Linked DNA regions of Cricetulus griseus. The protein of the gene in region 2 interacts with the protein of the main gene of each other region in a pairwise test. Links are inferred from orthologs where the notes say so. Each region holds a gene or a part of one and is shown on either strand. Other genes may lie near its edges.

Region 1 (3,572 bases), on a different chromosome or scaffold from region 2:
CTATGGCATACACACACACACACACACACACACACACAACACACACACACACACACACACACACACACACACGCAATAAATGAATAAATATATGTAATGCTTTTTATTTTAAAATTCTATTATAAAGATAAATAGTAATCTAGCCTAGGACCAGGGCTTCTCTTGGCTGCCTTTCTCCAGCTTGAGCTGTTTGAGAGGCAGCAAATGGATTCAGCTCTTTTAGCTTTCTGACCATGATGGGGTTCTGCACCCAGTACGCAGGAACAAGGGAAGAAGCTAAGCACGGTGTAGAGCCCACATTCTGTCATTATAGAAGGTTCTACACCTGCCTCATAGTGAAGAGAACAGAGTCCCAGAAGCTGGAGTATGATGGATGTCTCTGCTCTCAGGTGGGCAAACACTACCTGCGACTTGCCAATGACGCAGATGAAGAACTCAACAGCTGCTCAGCCGTGGCCTGGCTAATCCTGGCAGCCAAGCAGGGCAGGCGGGAAGCTGTGAAGCTACTGAGGCGGTGCCTGGCTGACAGGAAAGGTGAGGCTGTATGAGTCCCTTAGCCACTGCCTGCAGGGTAAGCAGTTTACAGTGCTGGCCATGCTGTTGGGAAGGGAGAGGTCTTTTTGGTCACCTCCTCACCCTGAGAGATTTTTGAAATCTTCCAGGTACTTCACATGCCAGGCCAATTCCTTGTCCTGTGCTTAGGGTCTGCAGGTAGTAATTAACTAGTCCCACTTCCTTTCTGGGTTCTAGTCCAAATTGGGAAGTAAATCTTAGAGTCAGAAGAAGGCAGTTGTCCCAAGGGCCCCAGAGTATAAGTGTCCTGTAGGTTCCAAGTCTGAGGAAGGTAACACAGGTGCTTCACTGAGTTTTTGTTGTGGTTGTGAATTTTGATATTGATTTTTAATTGTAAATTTTTATGCTTGCTGTATAAAACTTGCAATATATTGAAGTCACAAGGATACAGTTACTCATAACCAAAGCCCAGGGAGACATGCTGTATATATCAGTGTTTTCAAGGTTTCATTTAGTATATGGAATCTTTTCTCTTTGACAACTAGACTGGTCATTTGGGGGAGAAACAAAACAAGAATGGTTTTCCCATTTTATTCTGTCAGCCAAGGTATCTTAGCTCATCTGCCCAGACCACAGGAGGTAGAGTAACCTAGGGCTGGCCAGGTTAGGGGAGAGCAACCCACATGACTGTGGTCTGGAACCATTGTTTCCCAGGGCTGCCTAGGAACAGAGGCAGGCACACAGCCCTGGAGGGTGGGAAGGAGAGGCAGCACAGGCTCCCCTGCTCTGCCCTGCCCTGCCCTGCCCTGCATTGCTCCCCCAAGATTCCTGGGCAGATAAAAAGTCCAGTCCTCCTGAGAGAGGTGATGTCTATTTGCACTGGGGCCCTGTCTTTGCTCACCTCACTCCTCTGGGCCACCTGGCATTCTTTCTTCTGTGTAGAAGAATCCGTGTTCCCAGATGCCCAGCCCAGGAAACACTGTGGGCATGAGTATGTCCCCTTCTTGCCACAGTTTCACTTGTAATTGCAGCAAGTCTGACCCAGATTCTAGGTGGCTTGTTCCTCTTCAGACTTGGGCCCACAGCACCTTGCTTTGTGCCTTGTCCCTATTGTAGTACCTGCTGATGAGGGTTCCCTGAGGACGAGGTGTGAGAGGGAACAAGCCAGGAAGGGCTGCCGGCCCTGTGTTCCAGTGGACACCCAGGCATTGCCAGACTGCCTGACCTCCAATCTGGAGCATGGGTGATGTCGGGGATAGGCTCAGATGCACTTTGGGGGCAGGTATCAACTCGACTCTGAGTCAAGGAAGCCAGTCAGATCCCTCATGACCCTGTACGAGTGTCCCTGGGGGCTGCTGTGGGACATGGCTTTGCCTAATGCTTCTGTCTGTCAGGCATCACTTCTGAGAACGAGGCTGAGGTGAAGCAGCTGTCCTCTGAGACTGACCTGGAGAGGGCCGTGCGCAAGGCTGCCCTGGTCATGTACTGGAAACTCAACCCCAAGAAGAAGAAGCAGGTGGCTGTGTCCGAGCTGCTGGAAAATGTCGGGCAGGTCAATGAGCAGGGTAGGCCAGCCACATCACCAACAACCAGCCTCCCCTTGGCTTCCCTATGGGGATTGGGGTCCTGTGGTTAGGAGGTGACTGGCATGTTGGCAAAGACTGTAAATACCATTTATTGTTCATTTATTGATTGAAGTATATTCCGGGATGCTTCTGATTCAAGGACCAGAGATACAGGGAGTAACAGGAGCCTGGTACTCACCCCCAGGGAGCTGACTAGTTGGCTGAAGATGGTGCAGTGCCAGCCAAAGGGGAAGGGTGGGAGGGGTGTGTTTCATCACTGAGTAGAAACCACACTGAGCATACTGGTCCTCCTTGTGGGAAGGTTCCGAGATGGCTACCCAGGGATATGACCCTTGCATATGATGGGGTCCCAAGCCCTGTGATCCCTGAGCACTGTGACAGCCCAGGATCCTGAGGATGTATGCCTGGTGGGCTATGACAACTCGGCAGCCCCAGCTTCCAATCCTCTCTGATCCTACAGATGGAGGGGCACAGCCAGGCCCGGTCCCCAAGTCCCTGCAGAAGCAGAGGCGCATGCTGGAGCGCCTAGTCAGCAGTGAATGTGAGTATGAATGCCCATCCTGCTCTCCACTGTCTGCCTCCCATACACCATCCAGCACAGCATCCACTCTTTCCTGTGCATCCTAGCCTGGGTCTCCCACCAGAGTCTCTGGCTTAAATGGACTTTTGTTCAGTCCCTTTGAGTGGCAGTGTTTTTGTTTCTGGAACCTGAGCCTTGTTCAATGGGAGCTCAGACTACAGCAGGAAACAGACCTACAGTGTGACAGTCCTCACCAGGTGAAGGCCAGAGTCAGGGTTGGTGCCTGGGTGGGCAGAAAGTTCAGTGAGGGAGATGGCTCTGACTGGGAGTGTGTGTATGTATGGGGGGTCCCAGTGTGGGCACTTATGTTGAGGCAGAAATAGGGTGTTATATCATCCATGTGGGATGGGAGAGAGGCTGGGGCACACAGAACTGGAGGTGCTCTTGAAATGTCTGAGGTCAGAGAATTAGAAGACACCAGACCATCACTCCGTGTGTAGAGGGAGGAAGGGGTGAAATCTGTAGTTCAAGGGCCCCAGGCTCCTATCCTGGAGAAGATGGACATGTCAGGGAGGGGGCTTAGGGCTTCTTGGGGCTTCTCATCACTGATAGAGCTGAGTCAAGAGCCTCCTTGTGAAGCCCAGTGGGTGGGACAGGGGTTCAAAGTTGTGTCTTGTCATATTAACTCATGAATGCAGCCTCCCCAGCTAGCCCAGTCAGAACTTCCAACATGACCATTGCTCTTGGTGACTCTGCCAGTATCTACCATTTGTCTTCCCTGGAGGCTGGGAGTCCAGCCTTTGACACATGCTGCATTTCTTTTACCTGTCCCCAGTGTTTCCCAGAGCTCAACAAAGCACAGTGCACAGCAGGCTCTTGGCAAACACAGGTGGGATATAGAGGTTGACAGACACACAGTGGGTCCTCAGGGGATCCTGGTGGGGGTGGGGGCA
Region 2 (4,132 bases):
CTGGAAAGGAGCAGAGTTCTAACTACAAAGCAGCTACGACCTACACAGCACTTCCAAGTGAACTGTCTCAGGATGCTGTGAGGAGATACAGCATCACCTCAGAGGTGAGTAAATGGTATTTTTGACTTGAGAGAAGTTTACAACGATGGAATGTCATAGTTTTCTGAGAAGCACCTGCAGCAGGAAGGGCCCTCAAAAAGTTAACCCAGGGCATGGTGACCCAGGATTTCTGTAGATTGTAATAGAGTCCAACAGAAGTTTGTGCATGCAAATTCTGAGCAGTCTTACTCAAAATAACCAAAAGCAGAGAGAGTGTGCAAGGAATTAGCTAACCACCTGGTGAGGTGGACAGAGCCCCAGGGAAGGCACAATGCTCCCACCTCAAGTCCAAGGTGTCAGGGACAGATTGACGGATACACTAAGACTGTTTAAGCACTGGTATTTCCATTTGTTTTCCCCAAAGTCCTAGCTTTGCCTCTTTTCCTTGGAGGCTGAACTTCATTGCTGGTGAAGCTAGGTTAAATACATCCAAATCTTGTTACCACATCAAAGTAACAGATGCCAAAAGAAAATGTAAAGTTGTGAGTTTATTGCATATGTAACAAAATGAACCTGACCTCCCGGGTCCAGCCTGCTCTACAGTCAATGTTTTGTGTTTCCAGCTGGTTCCACAACTGCATTAAATAGAACTAGCATTTCTTTAAATACTTTCAATTCAGACATAAAACAGAACATTAGTGTACAACTGTCACAAGTAAATGGGCGATAAAAACTGGGAGAGCAACTAGGGTAGCAGCAGCACTTCAAACAGGACCTTACAAAATAAATTAGAATACATTATAAACACATTTGAAAAACCCACACTGTTTGAGAAGGCTGTCATGTGGCCCCCACCTGGCTGCAGTAGGGCGGGGTGTTTTCTCTGCAGAAGGTCAGTCCAGGGTCCGCCTATCCTGAACTTGACCATGTGGCCAAGCCAGTGTAGGTGTCAGCATCCCCACATCCCATCTTGTGGCAGGGCAGACTCTCCTAACAGAAAGCAGGAGATCGCGACCCGTGAACCGCTGCCATCCCATTGCTGCAGCCTGCGCTTCCTCTGAAGCGCTGCGAAGCAGAGTGGTGTTTGCTGCGTCCCTGAGTGTGGCTGCTGGCCGCTGGTGAGGGTAGCCTGGAGAGCCGGGCTCCTGAAGCATCTGGGTGATGTGGTGACGGTGGATCGTTTAGGGCCACCAGGAGGGGTGACAATCGAGATCTTACACGAAAGGGCTTCATCCAGACCCAAAGTAGGGCAACCAGGAGCTTAGCCGTGGGCCGGCCACGCAGTGTCCTTTGAGGTGTTTCAGAAGGGCCTAACCATGGTAGACAGACAAGGAGGTGCAGCGGTACCAACAGAGGACGGTGCTGCGCAGACAGATGCACCCGGGGGAAGCTGCGACACTCAGAACTGGCAATGGGGGAACCCACAGGCAATGCAAGCAGACTTAGAGGTGGTCTGTGTGCCTACTACAGTCAGCCCAAGGGCCCAACCTCTGGATCTTCCTCAGGACACCTGACCCGGGACTCCTAAGGCTTGTCCCTTATCACTCCCAATGTAACCCTGCTTTCCTTCATCAATGCAGACTGGCACAGTGCAAAAGCAACAGGCAGGTTTCCAGTCTCCAAAGTGTCACTCTGCAGGCTCTGGCTGGTTTCCACGGACTGGCTGTGGCTTAGGGCACAGGCTTCCTCAATACTCCGGGTCATGAGGGAGCCGGCTTTTAGAATGCCCCCAGAAGTGTTAAGGTAGATGAAATACAGAAGCCCTACTGGGGCAAGGCAGAAAATTGAGACTGATAAGGCCCCAGTCTGGCCTGGATGGCGGGACGGGTTCGGTTTTTGTGCAGTGAGGTCTTCCTGTCTCCAAACCTTGAAACCTAGAGTATGGCTGACTCACACTCTGTGGTATCAGTGGCTACCAAGCTGGCAAACCTCTTGGGGTAGAGTGCGTATGACCTGTGAATCCAGCCTCCCCCAGTCACTTTGGAGCTGCTCCCAGAGCAAGCTGGACAGAAGCATCAGGAGCAGCAGGGAAGTCACTTTCCCATGCCCAGGCTGAGGGTAAGCAATGAAAAGAACACAAAAGCCAGTGGCCCAAGAGGGCCTTCCTCATATCCCACATCCAACTCCAACTCATGGCTGAACCTGAACCCCGGTACCAATGAAATGTCTTGCTAATGAATTACCCTGTTCTCGCCCCTACCGCAAACAAAAATGACAAAACCACACATGGAAAATTGGCTGCTGCTCTGCTTCTACCAGAGTGCAGCTGCCTGAATCCAGCCCCTCTATCAAAAGAGTCACCGCTTCTGAACACTTGTGCAAACTGGAAATGGTGTTAGAGACATGGCGTTAGGCTGGCTTTGGCCTTGCTCATCAGAAGATGAAAACTGAGCAAGCAAATTGAGTAGAACTGTTAGCATCACCATTGCCACGGGGGAAGAGGGCCATGTAGGGAGGTAAAGCCCCCACCCTGTTACCACAGGCTCCATCACAACCTGCTTTGTGCATAGCACCAACCCTGGGAAGCTACATCAGGGGACCCCAGGTCAGCGGCCTCCTGCTGTCCCACCCAGTGGCTGTGGTGACAAAATTGTTCTGTTAGTTTAGCTCTTAGCAATCCCCATATAAAAGTCCATTAACATTTCAAGACAGTCAGGAGCCTCCAGTCCCTGGCACAGGAGTCAGCTGGACCCGGGGGGGATCTGAGCCTGGTTTTGGCCATTCTTTGATTAGCTCCATGACATGTGAGAATTTCAAACTGGGTAGAGAACATAGCAAATGGGACTTTAAAGATTGTTCCCCCTTGTGCAAAACCATCTTTTCAACCAGGATACCCTGAAAAATACCCTGGGCCTCCAGTGAAGGCTGCTGGATCCAATTCCTTTATCTCTCAGAGGGGAAATACATCCTGCCTTGAGCTTCCTGCCTGGGTGGAATCTAGCAAGCATACATTGCAGTTATTTCCTGCTTAGAAATCCACCTGCTATCTGGAACAGGCTGCTAGCTGGACATCTAGAATTTGAACTTAGTAAGCTATCGGCAGCTGCTGAACTTGAAAAGGGCCTTGAGGCTACACCGAGAGCGCTGGTACAGAGACCATGCAGACCCTCAGGGGCCCAGCTTGGCCTGACCATGGGTTGATGCTCCCACAGCCTTTCCACCATGCCAAGGAGGCTGAGGGCAAAACCTGGCTGAGTTTCAGTGGATGAGTCATGGAGGGGTGGGCAAACTATAATAAAGGAGGGATAAATGGGTGGGAGCCACCTATGAAAGTCCCCTGGCCTGCCCTCCCCAAAGGAGGAGGGAGACGAGCCTTTTCCCTCAGGTTTCTGGGATCTCAGGCCTCAGCCCGCCATGCGGGAGGCGTGCAGACGCCATATGCTTTGGGTCTGGTGGTTGTGAAGGAGACTCTGCTGCCCCTGGCCACTCCTCACTCCACAGCAAAGCCACAGGTCTCCTCCACAGCTGTGAGCAGCTTCTCATAGAGCTTCTCATAGGACTCATAGGGCGGGATGTCAATCCGGTTAAAGCTGGAAAAGGACAAAGGAGCCAGAGTCACTGCTGGGAGTCACCCAGTCATCTGCACAGTGGGTGGGATATGGCATCCCATCTCTGGTTGGCAAGAGCCCAACCATGTCAAGTTCTGAACACACACGGCTCAGCTTTCAACGCTGTTTGTTTGGGAGTTTTTGTTTCTTCCAATCAACTCAGAAAAATCTCAACATCTACGAAATCAAAATATAAACTTGTACACTTACTGATTGTTGTTTTGTCTCTGGGTGTGATTTCTCTACACTAGGAAGAACCCCTGACTGGCCTGTGATTAGCACTGGTGACCATCAGCTCTCCTACTGCCTACTGAGGGTCAGCCAATACACTGCAAGAGCATGCTGGGGCTCAAAAGAAAAAGGATGCCAAATCCTAAAAAGACGAGGTGGGTAGCAACCTTCCTACTTAAGATTGGAGCGGGGGGGGGGGGGGGGAGCACACGACACAGGGGACGGGACACTCCAAGTATTATACAAAGAGATACATCAATTGTCTCATAGTATTTTAAAAAGACAGTTAAGAGAAAGCAGTGGCTTGTGAATCG

Evidence for each region. The genes of interacting proteins can lie anywhere in the genome.
Region 1: the proteins of Smurf1 (region 2) and Wfs1 interact in binary tests that used the Homo sapiens proteins (3 or more experiments, as listed by UniProt). The link is inferred for Cricetulus griseus from reciprocal best matches to the Homo sapiens genes SMURF1 and WFS1.

The regions. Positions count from the first base shown.
Region 1 is NW_023276807.1:105,936,555-105,940,126, reverse strand, and holds part of Wfs1 (wolframin), read left to right. Parts: intron 1-389; coding exon 390-534; intron 535-1,907; coding exon 1,908-2,078; intron 2,079-2,559; coding exon 2,560-2,640; intron 2,641-3,572. UniProt on the Homo sapiens protein: Participates in the regulation of cellular Ca(2+) homeostasis, at least partly, by modulating the filling state of the endoplasmic reticulum Ca(2+) store.
Region 2 is NC_048597.1:81,284,998-81,289,129, forward strand, and holds the end of Smurf1 (E3 ubiquitin-protein ligase SMURF1), read right to left. Parts: intron 3,570-4,132; coding exon 3,470-3,569; 3' UTR 568-3,469; downstream 1-567. UniProt on the Homo sapiens protein: E3 ubiquitin-protein ligase that acts as a negative regulator of BMP signaling pathway. Mediates ubiquitination and degradation of SMAD1 and SMAD5, 2 receptor-regulated SMADs specific for the BMP pathway.